Rhinolophus ferrumequinum: one gene and its partner. The protein of the gene in region 2 interacts with the protein of the main gene of each other region in a pairwise test. Links are inferred from orthologs where the notes say so. Each region holds a gene or a part of one and is shown on either strand. Other genes may lie near its edges. The genes, in order: SH3BP5 and SPTBN1.

Evidence for each region.
Region 1: the proteins of SPTBN1 (region 2) and SH3BP5 interact in a two-hybrid assay, tested with the Homo sapiens proteins (2 studies listed by BioGRID and IntAct). The link is inferred for Rhinolophus ferrumequinum from reciprocal best matches to the Homo sapiens genes SPTBN1 and SH3BP5.

What each region holds. Positions count from the first base shown.
Region 1 is NC_046300.1:31,251,341-31,258,853, reverse strand, and holds the start of SH3BP5 (SH3 domain-binding protein 5), read right to left. Parts: upstream 3,050-7,513; 5' UTR 2,813-3,049; coding exon 2,675-2,812; intron 935-2,674; coding exon 872-934; intron 1-871. UniProt on the Homo sapiens protein: Functions as a guanine nucleotide exchange factor (GEF) with specificity for RAB11A and RAB25. Inhibits the auto- and transphosphorylation activity of BTK. Plays a negative regulatory role in BTK-related cytoplasmic signaling in B-cells.
Region 2 is NC_046296.1:33,100,010-33,107,977, forward strand, and holds the start of SPTBN1 (spectrin beta chain, non-erythrocytic 1), read right to left. Parts: upstream 3,154-7,968; 5' UTR 2,955-3,153; intron 2,238-2,954; exon of another isoform or gene 2,218-2,237; intron 1-2,217. UniProt on the Homo sapiens protein: Fodrin, which seems to be involved in secretion, interacts with calmodulin in a calcium-dependent manner and is thus candidate for the calcium-dependent movement of the cytoskeleton at the membrane.

The DNA of each region.
Region 1 (7,513 bases), on a different chromosome or scaffold from region 2:
CCTGCATCCTCACTCTTTGGGACCAGATGTTTCCTGCCTTTTCCACTGACCTTCCCTGCTATTTCTCCTGCTACAGAAACAGGTCCTCCCAACAGCTCCCTGCATTCCTTCAGCTCTCTGACAGTCATTCACAGGCTCTCAGATATATGCGGAGGATATTCAAATTTGCTGATTGATGGTAAAACCAACCACTACTGAAAAGGAATGGGGACTAATTGGTAGCTGTGAAGAATACTAATCTGTTTACACAGATTGGAAGATGCCCCTGAAATTCAAATCAACTTTTGTCTCCCAAGATTCTTCCCAGCAGGAAAGCCCTTCCGTCTAAACAGCTTTTGCTTACCATTAAAATAATTATATTCTACACACAAGCAGACAATAAAGAAATGAGCAGGGAAGTAGAAGGGGGTGAATTATTAGAGCAGGAGAGTCAAAAAAAAAAAAAAGGTTTTAAGTCTGAGCAAACACACAATGTTTCCAAGTACAATATGAGGAACTGCCCTAAAATATTAAAGAGATTTTGTGACCTCATGTATTCTTCTCCATTAAAGAGTTCAGCTCATTTTCACCTTAGTTCTTTTAGCTTTTCCACAGACACATTAACTTCAGGGCTTAGGCATGTGTAAAGCCCTTGGTTTTGGCCCCACAGAGCTTCCATAATAAAAAAACAACATGTGAAATTGGATCCACATGTGTTCCACCCACAAGCTGGGCTCAGCCGTATAGTTTATTCTGTCAGACAGCAGGCTGTTGCTCAACTGGAGGAGGGGACACCAGCAATCACCCTCCAACTATTAAAACAAAATTAACCATTCTGGTGTTAGCAGGACAGACACCAGTTCACCAAGAACAGGAACCTGGCCTTCAGTACCTCAAGTTCAGTCTCCCGTCTGTTGATGTCATCCGTGGATTGATTTAACTTCTCCAGTTCTCCCTAACAAAGAAAAGAGGCAGAAAAAAGATTTAAGGGATTTGTCTTTTGTTTCCAAGTGACTCAGCCCATGACCTGCAAAACTACTCCAGCACAATTTGGGAAGAAGGAAGTGTCAGTATTCTCAAGAAAAATAGTTGAGCCTTGGCTAGAAGAGAAATGAATGTCAGCATTTCTGAAACCTTTGCTTGATGGTGTCCCTTTTGAAAATGTCATACGGTCATAGGGATTTTCTTAGGAGGTTAAATATTTATTCCAGGTTTGTGCCTTCAGGTAAACCCACCTGTTACAAATCATTTAAGGGCTGATATCAAAATAGTACCTTCTGCCTTACAGCAAGAACTTTGCAGAAAAGAAAAGAAACAAAGCCAAGCCAAAAGTATAAACCTAGTGAAATGATTTAAATCGAGGGCAGAACACTGGCATTAACTCATTGGTGGTTGAGTATTTTTGTAGAGAGATGAAAATCTTTTCAAACTGCCAATTATTCAATCTCCCTAGGTGTTTTTAAAAAAACAAACAAAAACATTAGCTTTAAAAAAAACTACCTTTAAATAAACATTTACAAACTAAAATTTTATAAAAAGCACCCATCATGAAGTCAACTCATTTTACTCTGCAAACAAAGGATCTTGTTAACAGAATTCCTGTACCAACAAAACAAGATACTAGTCCAAACTGATTAATTTAATTAATAAAATTTCTGATACAAAGATTTTTTTCCACCTGATCTTTACCTTGCCAATCTGCCAAAACAATTCATTTAAACTGCAACAGCTGAATTAAATGAGCTTTTAATTGATCTGTGCACTGAAAAACCAATTAGGGCGGGTTCCAGGAATTGAAAGCATACTTAAAAGCAATATATATTGTGTACACACACAGAGAGAGAGAGACACACGTGTGTGTGTGTGTGTGTGTGTGTGCATGATTTATGGGAAGGTAGGAAAAACGAGTCTTGGACTTCTGCTTTTTGCTTAGAGGGTGAAAAGGTTAAGCGGTCAACCCTAGATCTTGGCTTGGAAATTGTTTTTTAATCATCTCCCTTACAAATGGAGGTGCAGAGGTCCAGGCCAATCCCCTCGCCTTCTCCCCGTGTCAGCTTTGCGCATCAGTTGTTCCTGATTTCTGTTCACACCCGACCTCAAAAAAGGAAAAGCTAGGTTTTAAATCATTTGAGGCCAAGTGGAGGGTTGAATCAGTAGTGACAAAAAGAAAAAAGGAGAAAAAAAAAAACCCTTCAGTTTGGTTACAATCAAAGGAGAGGAAAGATGGCTCAAGCCGGGCACCTCCACCAGGTGAGGACTCAGAACCCAGGGCACCAGTGCCAGCCCACGCTGCAGGGGCGGACAACGCCCACCCGGCAGCCGACCCCTCCTTCCAGGGCCAGGAGGCCGTGCAATGCCAGCGGTGTGGCGAGCCTGGCCGGGATACCCGGGATACCCGCGTGGCGCCCCCGCCCCCTTTTTCCCTTTGTTGCACATCCGCCCAACCGCTGGGCACGCTGCAGCGATCCCCTGATTCTGCCGCGGTCTGCGGGGGGATCCCGGTAACATATTCAGGCCGCATCCATGAGGGCACTGCAGCCTCCCGATGAACCCAGTGAAACAGTATTCAGCCTCTCTCTTCTTGCCCCCGGACCTACGTCGCCAGCACCCCCACCCCGGAGCGCAGGCACTGGATGCCGATCTCCGCGGCGGCCCTCGCCAAGCGGGGATCCGGGGCGCCCTCCGCGCGTCCTACCTGAATCCGGGGATCCACCTCTTCTTCCTCCTCCAGCTCCTGCTCCATCCCCTCTTCCTCCTCTTCCTCCAAGTCCCGGGCCGACTGCAGGAGCTCAGCCGGCTCCTCCGAGCGGCTCCGCTTCAGCGCCGCGTCCATACCCGCAGCCGGATCGCGAACAGCGCAGCGGGCTTCGGGACGTTTGGGAGGGTGGGCGGCCGCCGCAGGCTCGGCCGGAGCCCGCCGGTCTCAGCTCGGCACGGTCTGGGAGCCGCAGCCGACACCAGGGAGCCGCTCCGGCCGAGGCGGAGAGGAGGAAATGGGAGCGGCCGCCCCCTTTCTGCCGCGGCCGTCAGCGCAGCGGCGCCCGCTCCGCCCTCGTCCCGCCGGGGCCACCCTCCTTGCTGCTCTGACTCTCACTCCTCCGCCGGTCCCCAAAACCCAGGTCTCGTCACAAAAACCCAACTCTCTAAAAACCTCTAGCGTGGCGAAATAGGAGGGCCCTCACCCCCATTTTAACTTAACAGACCGAATATATCACAAAGTACCCAATGTTGGCCGCCTACTTTTGGGGCACTGTTCTCCCTCCTTCCTCATCTAAGGCAAATTGACTATATGGAAGGAAAGTTTGGGGTATTTCCATTCTCTGAAGTCACCTTTAGAAGCCTGTACTCAGTGGCCGTGAACCAATTTCAAGACTCACTCAAACCCCTGTCTGTAACTGCCCAAAGCACGTTTCTCCCCTTGGGTGAACCTTGGGAATTGTATTCCCTTGAAGATTTCCTCGGAAAAGGGAACAGAAACGTATGCTCACATAGACACAAAAGTACAGAGGAGAACCAGCTGCAGCTCCATGCATGGATCACTTTTCCAAAGGAATCCCACTGAGCAGAGTTCCATACCAAACACTTGGGCAGTTGTGGGATGGTCCTACCTGAATAGCTAGGAGGTATGGAAAATCCATGGATCAGAGGTGTGGGTGGGTGGGCACAGCCTTTTCAAGGAGGTGGTAAGTGTAAGTCCTGTGAATGGGCACGTTCCCTCCAAGGATTTCTGAACTGGTGAGGTTTCCTGCCCACCCAGAACAAGTGGGCAGCCAGAGCTTTCCTGGCAAACTCAACATCACAAAAGGCCAAAGAACAGCATGTCTGTGCTGTTATAAAATGTCAGGGCTACTGTGATGTCAGGGGAGCACAAGGTGAGGTGACCTTAGCAAAGCAGAAAGGACATTGCCACTGGCCACTGCTAATGTCTCCATCATTACAAAATGCAGAATGTGTACACTTTCTATATAGAGGCTGTGGCCCATCTGCTCTGAGTATGGAGGACAAACTTGCTTGAAGAAAGAGCTTCTTTCTGAGAGCCTATCATTAAAGCCACCTTGGAAAACTTGCTTCTGACAGTTTCATCAGAAGCTAAATTGGGGTGTTATTCCTTGGGCAAGGTACCACCCTATCCACACTGGCGCTGTGGTCCACTGTCAAAGGAGATTTCATCCTGTCTCCTAAAGGTAAGTAATATAGGTGTGTGCCATAGATTTGTTTCTGAAAAGATCACACCTATTCGTTGTTCTTTAAATCAAGAGAGACTCAGCAATTCTTCAAAAAAATCTTCCGAAGTTCCCTGATTTTCCAGTGGTGGATAAAGGCAGGGACAAGATGGCCATTAAGGGGAACTTTGGGACACATGAGCCACCAATGTTTCCCTGGTGGCTTGGATTTGAGCCCATAATTGAGCAGGTTCTTCCTAACCTAGCTGTGAATAACCTGAGCGAGAGAGGTCAAAAACCAGAAACGAAGTCAGCCCTGACTCTAAATGCTTGTCAGCTGGTGGACCCCCATCTTCAACAACAACCTCTAAAATATATTTTTATTTATGCTAAGATCTAAGAGCAAGAGTGGTTCAAATGCCTCCACAGTATATAGGGAAACTGTGCTAGAACATCGATTTAGACTTCTGTTGTTTTATTTTTAGGAGACCTGGGCCAGTTATAGCATTAATCCCAATAGTGTTCTAAAGTTAAAATAAGAAAAACACATAAACCACAGCAGTACTGTATATTTTCTGTTGGTACATATATATGCATATAAATGCATAGAAAAAGGTCTGGTGGAAGGATTCATACCCAGCAAAGGGGATATTTATACCCCTGGGAAAAGGGGATAGAGAGGGGCTCAACATTGGCTATGATGGGGATCGGGAAGGCAAAGGGAACTTTAATCTCTCAATGATGTTTTTATTCTTTACAAGGAGGATGTATTTATGATTATTTGTGTAATTTAAAAATAAATTTAAAATAATACATACTGAATTAGTTTTCTGTTGCTGTATAACAAATTACCACCAATTTAGCAGCTTAAAACAATACTCATTCATCACCTCACAGTTCCGTAGTTCTGAAGTTCAGGTACGGCATGACTAGGTTCTCTGCTCAGGGTATTCAGGCTCAATGAGGATGTCAGGGTGTCCAGGCTGCATTCCTTTCTGGAGGCTCTGAGGAGAAATCCTTTTATGCTCATTCAGGTTATTGGCTGAATTCAGTTCCTTGTGGTTGTAGGACCAAGGTCCCTGTTTCCTTGCTGACGACCAGCCAAGGGCCAGTCTAAGATGCTGGAGGCTGCCTGCATTTCTTGCCACATGACCCCCTCCACCTTCAAAGCCAGCAACGGAGAATTTTGCTGGTGTTCAATTACATGAAATCTCACATTTCAATCTATTATTCAAGAAGAGCCCATCCCTTTTAAGAGTTCACTTGATTAGATTAGGTCCACCCAGAATAGTCTCCCATTCTTAAAGTCAACTGTGCCATCCATATACATAACCTATTATCATGGAAGTGACTGTCGTGCAGGGTGGCATGCGGGGTCTCTGGTCCCGCTCCCCACATAAGAACGCAGGACATGGTGAGGCCAAAAAGGAACACCCACGGAGCCATAGGTAGGGGAGTCATACCACTATAGTCTTGCTGGCGGCTGGGTTGGAGACACAGGAAGCAGGAGCCACACTGGCCGCAGCCTGCCGTCCTAACTGCAATCCGCGCTTGCCAGCCACCATCGTCTTGCTAGCCCCCATTTATATTAGCGTAGCCACAGCAGTTATATTAGTGGCCAATGGCTCACTGGTTACAGCTGATGGCCAACTAGCCACAGCTGATGGCCATCCAATCACAGTTGATGGCCATTTACTATCTGAGCCAGCACCTTTCCACATGAGGCCGAGAGCCTGGAAACTGCACTCCTGGCTCTGTCCCCACAGTGACTCTCCCATTATATTCACAAATTCCCCAAATTATACAAGAGCATGTTCATCAGGGAGGAGGAAATGGGCCAATTTTATAAATTCTGCTGCTTCACATACCAAGAAGGCAAGCCATGTAAATGTTTCGTAAGCCAAGCAAATGCTTGATATTTATTTTAGCTAGCCTATCAATCTGGAACAGTGGTTCTAACGGTGTGGGCTGGACACCCCTGGAGGTCTCCAAGACCTTTCAGGATGCCCTTGAGATCAAAACTACTTTCGTGCTAATACTAACAGAATATTTGCCTTTTTCACTCTCATTCTCTCACAAGTATGTATGCATGGGAGTTTTCCAGGAGCAGACACGTGATATCAAAACCGATTGAATGCAGACGATATGAGAATCTAGTTGTCTTCTACAAAGCCACACGTTAAAGAGTTTTGCAAAAATGTAAAACAGTGCTCTTCTCACTCTTTGTTTTGTTTTGAAAACTATTTCTCAATTTAGAAACTTGTTATTTTTCATAAAAAATACATTTATGTTAACACCAAACAGATTTATTATTTTTAGATGAATTAATAAAAAATGTTGTCTTAAAAATTCCATACAGTAACACCAGTAGTTATAACCACATAAACAACAGCTCTCAGACATCTCCAATCATTTTTTAAAAATATAAAGGAGTATTTGAACCAAAAAATTTGAGAATGACTGATTGAGAGGACCTGTGTGTTCTAAATTTGTTATCCTTTTTTATTTGTATTTCAATATTCCACTTCCTCCTTCATTCAAAAGATGTGTACCCCCACCCAAGACCCTTGTTGGACACTGGTGGAGTATTACAGGCACAGTACATTATTGCCCATTTTAAAAGACTTTAACAATTTTAAATGATTGAAGAGATGGTTAGATAAGGTGCCACTCATGTATCATGTCTTTGTTTATTTCCTAGGATCTGTATTTTGTCAATTCCTATGAAGAACTCATCACCCAATTATAATGTTGCTCCTTTGGAGGAAACGGTTAGCTTTTTAAGTGCTTTGTCTGTGATGTGGTTTCTGAGTGCCATCTCTGCCTGCCAGGCTTTGGGTGGGTCCCAGCAGTGCAGGGGCACACCTGTATCAAAGCCACACTTTCTCGGCAGGGGCCTGATCACTTTGTGCAGTGTGGGCAGTGAGGGGAGATGGCTGACATCTTAAAAATCTTGAGGACTGGGGTGGCCAGTTAGCTCAGTTGGTTAGAGCGCGGTGCCGTTAACAATAAGGTTGCCAGTTCAATCCCCACATGAGCCACGGTGAGCTGCGTCCTCCACAACTAGATTGAAACAACCCCTTCACTTGGAGCTGATGGATCCTAGAAAACCACACTCAAGAAAAAAAGTCTTTCTTTGAGGACTGCATTGCTTGGAAGCCACACTCTCTGTCGATTTATTTTTACTACCTCCTTGCAGTTTGTTTAAACCCGGACACTGGGAGTAAATACACTATATGTGTTTATTCCCTGCCCACCACTTCCTTATGTTGTAGATCTTCCTAGGTGAAAATCACAGCCTCTGTGCTGTCCTGGTGTCCATTTAAAACAGCGGGGTGAAATTTGGAAAGGAGGAGAAAAAAGGTATCTGG
Region 2 (7,968 bases):
TCCACATGTAAAGTCATACTTTCATATACGTAGTAGCAAGACAAAATAACTACTCCAACAAACTCTTCCAACGAAACTGCCAATGTCAAGTCTCTGCTAAGGATGTGTCACAAGTAGAGAGTGAGATCTTCTCACTTGCTCCTGCAACATCACAGACATTTGTTACTAGGTATTCTCGCCCAAGAGACCGCTTCAGAAACCCTGCACAACAGAGAAGACCTAGTGACCACAGTTTCTTCAGTGCCCCAATACTTCTCCTACTTTCAGATGAAGGTTTAGGTCAGTCCAGAGAGAACAGTTACAAAGAGCTTACTTAACCTAACAGAATTCTGCACCTGGTGTGTAAGTCAGAACAGCTAAACCTCCTGTGACATCAACACAGGATATTTTCTTACAACACAGTAAATCCAAAATGTCTGAATAATCATGGGAACAATACTCCCAAACATCTTTATGCAACACGATTTTATACAAGCAGACACCGATGAAGCCAAAATCCAAAAAGTTCTGTATTTTTAATGGCCTTCTTTTAAGAGAAACTCAAAATAATGCACATAAACCACACAATCTGCATTCAGTTCTACTCTGCAGAGCCACGTGAAATCAAATGCCACCAACTTGAATTCATGAGAGATTTAAAAAATAAAAGTAGACACACCCTTGCTTTGAAATACTGACCTTCTCTTCCGGTTAGTTAGCATACTGAAATTCCCTTTTTCCCTTAAACATTTTAGAAGAATCTGGGTGACATTTGAAATGTATTCCATTTGCCATCCCACAATGAATAAATGAATTGTAGAAGTGGCATTTAGATGGGAAATTCCCTGTGTATTAGCCCAGACTAAACAGATGAGAACACTGGCAACCGTCTCCTTCTGACCAGATACCAGCCACACAGGCCTCGGTGGTCTGCACTTCTCAACTCCCTCCCCAACGACATCTGCAAAAAATATGTATAAAAATACATATAAACAAACACAAATGAAGTCAGTTACCATCACAATCCCATTAGTCACAACGAACTTGGCTATCTAAATCGATAAAAATCTGAGTAACAATTCACTCATTTATCTAATAATCCCTAATAAAGCATCCAAATGTGTAATTTGATTTACAGAAAACGCAAACGATGAAAGCAATGCCAATACAGGTTAATCATTTACTACACATCAAAAAATATATTAAGTTCCTTTTAAAAACCTATTCAATGTGAGTATTTTTAGAAATGTCTCAGGGAGACATGAACTAAAACAGTAACCGTTTTATTTCAAAAAATAGTTTTCTCTAGGAAAAATTCATATTCTTATTATTGACCAAAGACAGAGGTACTGCAATGTAATAGTTACGATGCTCCAATAAACACAAACTTTTCATACAGGAAGAAATCGATGGATAATTGGGTTGTAGTCACAAATTATGAGTGATCCACAAAAAACCGCTGCGACTCCCAATGCTGACTGCACCAGCGCCTCCGCACACCGCTGGGCCGCGCGTCCTCCCTGCAGCCCCTCCCTACAGCTCAGGTCCCTTAGTCCGAGATCAGATTCCGATCCGCAGCCGCAGGCCAGCTCCCTCTACCCGCATTAGCGCCGCAGGAAGCCCCTTCATCGGATACAGCCCAAAAGGCGGGGCGGGAGGGGGTCACCCCAAAAAGAAGAGTCCACCCTCACAGCTAGGTGACCTGGTCCTCCTGACACCACATCCCGCTGAAACAGCAAGACAAGGTAGATGCTGTTCCCAGCCTCTGCCAAGGGCAACCCCGGGCCTGGGTGGGGCCGGGTGGGGGCCGCAGGCGCCCAGTGGCCGTGCCAAGCCCCGCCAGCGAGAACCCGGGGAGGCTGCGATACTGCTGCATTGTGCTGCATCACGGCGAGGGCACCGTGAGCCATCCATCTTGCCAAAAAAGCACATCCCCACCCAAACAAACCCACCGAATCCATTTTCTCCTCCTCGGCAGCGCCCTACACTTGCCTTCTCCTCACTTACTATGTGGCCTGGCTTTTGATTGGAAAAATAATGGACACGGTTTGTGTACCGATCCCTGCAACACTTCCCCACCCCATCTGATAGCATTTGGCATCTTTCCTATCACAAAAACAAAGGGAAGGCTCCCCTCAAAAAGAGGGCCGCGGGCGTGGTGTAAGGGGTGATAAGGAGAGGGGCTTCCAACCCACCACCCCAAAGGCAGGCCGGGAGGGTCTCCGCGCTGGTACAAACCTGTTGAAGAAAGGGTGGCAGGAGCTGAAGGGCGGGCGCAGCGGCGGCTCCGCGCCCGCAGGCGGCTCACGCCCAGCCCTGGGAGAGTGGGTACAGCAGGAGGGCGGGGGGGGGGGAGCGGGCGCGGATCCGCGAGCGGACACTAGGATGGGTGGGAGGGGGCACCGGGCCGCCGCCTCCCGCTCAGCTGCAGCGCGGCGCAGCCGGGACCACGCCTGGCCGCATCTTCCGTACCGTTAAGCGCAGAGCCGGGCCCTGTCAATGCCGCCCCGGCTCCCCCACCAGCCTGACTAGCAGGAGGGCACCCGAAAATATACCCTCGCTGCTGCCCACTGTGCACCCACCCCCGCGCCAGAGGCCGCTGCGCCCAGATGAAGGGACACGGCGGCGAAGATAGGGAGGAGAAATAGGCGCCACTGCGCCGGGGATGGGGCTGGGCGGCCGCGGTGCGCACCGAGGATCTGCGGCCGCCTCACTGCGGCCGCTTCACTGCGGGGCCTGCCGTCCCTGCCCCGCAAAACTCGAGCACTAATAAGCACTGGAGACCCAGGCTCCTGGTGCCGCCCCCGCCCTGGCTCTGCAGCCTCCCCGCCCCCACGCCGCTCCGTGGGGAGCCGGGCAGCGGCGTCCGCCGGACTGGGCCCGCGCCCCTCCTCCCGCCCGCCTGCCGCCCAGGAGCCCGTCCGGGTGGCAGCCCCAGTGAGTTGGCATGTTCCAGCCTCAGGCCCCTCACCTACCTCCCGCGGATAAGGGGTGGGGGCGTCGGGGTCCCGTCCTCCTCCCGCTCCTCGGCGGCCGGGCGGGTGGGCCGGGAGGCGACTCCGCGGGGCTGTCTGCGGCTGGGGCCGGGGCTCACAGGACGGGACCGGTGGGCGCTGCTGCGCGGGGCTGCGCGCTCGCTCCGGGTGGAGAGGCGGCCGAGGGAGGGACTGGAGGAATCCGCAGCCTGCACGGTAACAGCTGCACTGATTCCGGGGGCTGGGCTGGAGCGCGGGGCGGGGGAAGGAGGGGAGGGAGCAGGCAAGGAGGGGGCGAGGGGCGGGGAGAGGGAGCGCGCCGGCGCCGGGAGCGTGCACACGCGCGCGCACAGCTCTCTCCCGCACACCCTCCTTCCTTCCTCGGTTCCTCCCTCTCCCGGGCCCTCAGTGCCTGTCCGGAGCCCCGCAGCCGCCCATCCGGCGCCTGCTCCACGCGCGAGCCGAACCTCGGGCGCGTTCACGCTCTCCCCAGCTGAAGCTCTGCCGGGGCCCAGCGCCGACCTCGTTCCTTGTAGCCGAGACTGGCCAGGGAGAGCCTGGTCACAGTGGGCATCGCCGCTGCCACTACCCAGGCAAAGGGACAATAGGGACTTTGTCCCCACAGCTGGCGAGGGCCAATTTCACGTTTAATTTGAGGCTAATTCGATTATCGCCATGGAAAGGGGCAGCCTAATTATCTACGTGACTTGTGCAGCCGCTTTTCACCCGCGACGTTGCGTTTGGAACGCTACGGAGAGGGTTGAGGGAGGTTTTAGAACGTCGTTTGGTTGGTTTGGTTTCAGATCTAGGTGGTGGTGCCTTGTAGGTTCCACCCAGCCTAATAAAGAGCGATGGTGACCTCTCCGTGGGAAACCTTGGACGATGGGGGGAGGAGGGTTGTTCCTCGGCAAAGTCAAGCTCTTTCTCCTTTGTGAGCTTTTCCACCCTTTCCCTCTGGGTAGCTGGGAACATACACTACAAGTGGTTCGTCCAACTCCTGCCTCTGACCCAAACGCTGGCTCACTTTCACCTGAAGTGGGTGCTCTTCCCGAGACACTGCTCGAGAGTAAGGACGTCCCGGCTGCAGTGAAGGCCCCGCGATGGCTTGAGGACTTGAGTTCTCCCCCTCTCCACATATCCTGAGATGGACACCGGACGTTCGCCCCTTCTCAACCAGCTGGCCAACCCTGTCAATCCCCCAGGCTATGTAGAAATTATGGAACCAGCACTTTTGAGAGGAAAAAACGGTGCATCACTATGACCAAGACTAGAAACTCTAGAAAGCAATCTGGAGAAACTGATTTTCTGCCTGCTCTGTAGGTGCCCAACGGTGCCCACTGTAAGCTTCTGTGGAAGAGGCCCTTCTTGGTTGCAAAAGCCCCAAGGCTTTTCCCCTAAAGACCTAACCCTCAACCCCTGAATAAAAAAGAGAAATAAAAGACAGACAAATAGTTTGGATCATGCTTATATCTCGCATCAATAGAACTGAAGCTTGATGCGTTTATATTTTTGTATGTATTTTTAAATTAATATTTTTAAATAAAACTAAATGAAATTGTCCCCAGCAATTCATGAAGATGATTCTTCCTTTTAGGCCTTCACCATCAGTTTGAATGTTTGTACAATGTTTACATTTGAGATATAGATATATAAATAATTGAGGAAGGCAAATAATTTAACATTTTTCTCAGAAGGTTATTAACACAGCTGAAAGGTGAGCTCTCCAAGAGCAGGGTTCTGTGTTCACTGTACATAGCAGGCACTTCAGAGGTGCTCAAAAATTTTTTGTTGAATTGAACAGAATCAACAGGTAAGCGCTGCCCATATTAGGCAACACTGGAAATCCACTAGGAATGAAAGTTGTTTCCCTTTCACTTATTTTGGGCATAGCCCCCAGCACGTCCCCACCCACAATGTTAATGAAATAGCAAAGAGAACAATGGCAGTACTGGGAAATGCCTCAGTTTAAATTCTTCCAATACTATTCTGAAATGGTGACTCTTAACTGCTTCCTTTATCACAGATAACAGTACTTGAATAAATCTCAATTTGGTGGATGAGTCATCTCCCCTCATTCCACTACCACTTACTTTTTAAAAATTTCCTTCAAAAAGTGAGACCACATACAACCTTAGCTAGGTACTCTAGTAAAGAGGCAGTAAGTATTCCAAAAATGTAAAAAACAAGGATTCAGAGTTTCACTATAAGTACCTGCTCACGGTTTCAAATTCTTACCTTTCGGTGGAAAAAAATCATCACCCAGGAAAGCACAGTGTACACTGAACAAAAAGAAAGTAGCAGATCAAAGAAAAGACAGTCTAAATCTGGAGAGATTATTGGAGAAGACATATGCTTCTGTGGAAGAGCAGAATCTAGAAAAGACAAAAAGCCTCAGTCGGTAATGATGGTAACAAAAAGGAGTGTTCTCAAATATCTCCAAAGCAGCTTTGCTGAAGTTTATTATCGTCACAATAGAATTAAGGTTGATTTAAAGGAACCTAGAACTCATCGTTAAGAGAGAACTCATTGATAGCATGTCTGTAACACTCTAGTCTCCATTTTTAAAACCATGTGATTGTATATGGCTTTGTCTCCCATAGAAATAGTACTTATTACAACATTTTTGTGGTTATAAAGGACCTTCAAAATTTGTGAACAATAATAATAATCATAAGTAGCAACTATAAAATTCTTTCTAGTTTTTAAAGTCTTTTAGCACATATATCATTTTGTCCTTTTGTCAGTTCTTTGGGGTACATACTAACTCCATTTTATAGATGAGAAAACTGAGACACCAGTACTAAGTGTCTTTACATAGCTACTAAATGTCTGAGATATCTGCATAGAAGCTAGCATATAAGAGCTGTGTGTCTGGACATTGTATGTTAATAATTAAAAAGTAATTCTGTTTACAAGATGAGAAAAGTTCTGGAGGTGGATGGTGGGGATGGTTGCACAACAATGTGAATGTACTTAATGCTATTAAACTGTACACTTAAAATAATTAAAATGGTGAATTTTATGCTATGTATATATCACGACGTTTAAAAAAATTCTTTTCAAGTAATTCTGAATTTAGACTCCTAGAATAGTAGAGCAGATGCACTCTTAATGCTCCTTCATTTAACCCATTTGTTGGATTACACTGTTCACTCTGTGTGGTAAGCATATTGACCAATGTCCATGGACACAAAACACACTCTGCTAGTCGGCTGCAACTGTATATTTCAGCTCCCTCCAGTTGTGCTGTGTATTTACCAAGTCAGTTTTGTTTGTTCCCAAATTTGTTTATGCTAGTTATGCTTATTATACTTAATAAGTACACTTATTATAATTAAATATTACATGAACCAATTAAATATGAGTGTGAAAAGAGAGCTCTTTAGTGAAAACTAAGTTGCTTATTTTTGAATTGTCTGATAAAGGCTAAAAATACTGCCATCAAAATATATGTGGTCAAGATAACAATAAAAAAGTAGGGAGGGATAGATATCATAAAAACCTTAAAATATTCAGTTCAGGATGCTTTGCAAGTGTCCCTAAGTTCTAAATCAACTTAAAAGAAAACAAAAATGTGTATCAGCTTTGGCTTATGCAAAAAAGAAGTGGACTTTCAGTAAACATATATAAACACTTTATCAACCAATTAGCAGGTGAATGTAAATTTCAAGTAAAATAAAACATCTAAGTATGTCTTTTTCCAGATATAAACCTATCATTTTGTTTTCTTTTGAAATGTGCTTCAAAAGTTAGGCAATGAATTGATAGATATGACACCAAAAGCATGACAACAACAACAACAACAAAAATAGACAAACTGGACGCCATCAAAATTTAAAACTTTTGTGTATCAAAGGACATTATCAAGAAAGTGAAAAGACAACAGAATAGGAGAAAATATTTGCAAATCATACATCTAATAAGGGTCTAATATTCAGAATACATAAAGAACTCTTACAACTCAACAAAAATGGAGTTGAATAGAATTTTCTCCAAAGAGGATATACAAATGGACAACAAGCCCATAAAAATATGTTCAATATCACTAGTCTTTAGGGAAATGCAAATCAAAACCACTGTGAGATACCACTTTATACCCACTAGGATAGGTTCAATTTTTTTTTTAAATGGAAGAGATCAGATGGGCGGTGGGGTAGGGATTTGGATAAAGGTGGTCAAAAGGTACAGATTTCCAGTTACAAGATACATAAATCCTAGGGATGTAATGTACAACATGATGACAATAGTTAGCACTTCTGTAAGATATATATGAAAGATGTTAAGAGTAAATCCCGAGTTCTCATCACAAGGAAAAAAAAGCTTTTTTCTTTTTCTTTTGTATTTATATGCTATGATGGGTATTGATTAAACTTACTGCATTAATCATTTCACAATATACACAAGTCAAATAATTATGCTGTACACCTTACATTTATACACTGCTCTATGTCAATTATAGCTCAGTAAACCTAGGGAGAATACAGAAAATAACAAGTATCGGGTAGAATGTGGAGGAATTTGAAGGCTCATACTTGCTGGTGGGAATGTAAAGTGGTGCAGCTGCTATGGAAAATAGTTTGGCAGTTCCTCAAAAAGTTAAACATAGAATTATCATATGAGCCAGCAATTCCACTCATAGCTATATGCCCAAAGGAATTGATACAGGTACTCAAACACTTGTACATGAATGTTCGTAGTAGGACAATTCACAATAGCCAAAAGGTGGAAACAACTCAGATATCCATCAATGGATAAATTGATAACCAAAATGTGGTATATCCATATAATGGAACACTATTCAGCCATAAAAGGAATTAAGCACTGATACATACTGTAGTATATCAGTTCATTGTATACTTATTGTAGTATACTTAGCGTATGTACACTTAACATAATGAAAAAAGCCAGACACAAAAGGTCACATATTGTAAAATTCTGTTTAAATGAAATATCCAGAATAGGTAAATCCATAGAGATAGAAAACATATTGGTGGTTCCCAGGGGTTGAAGGAAG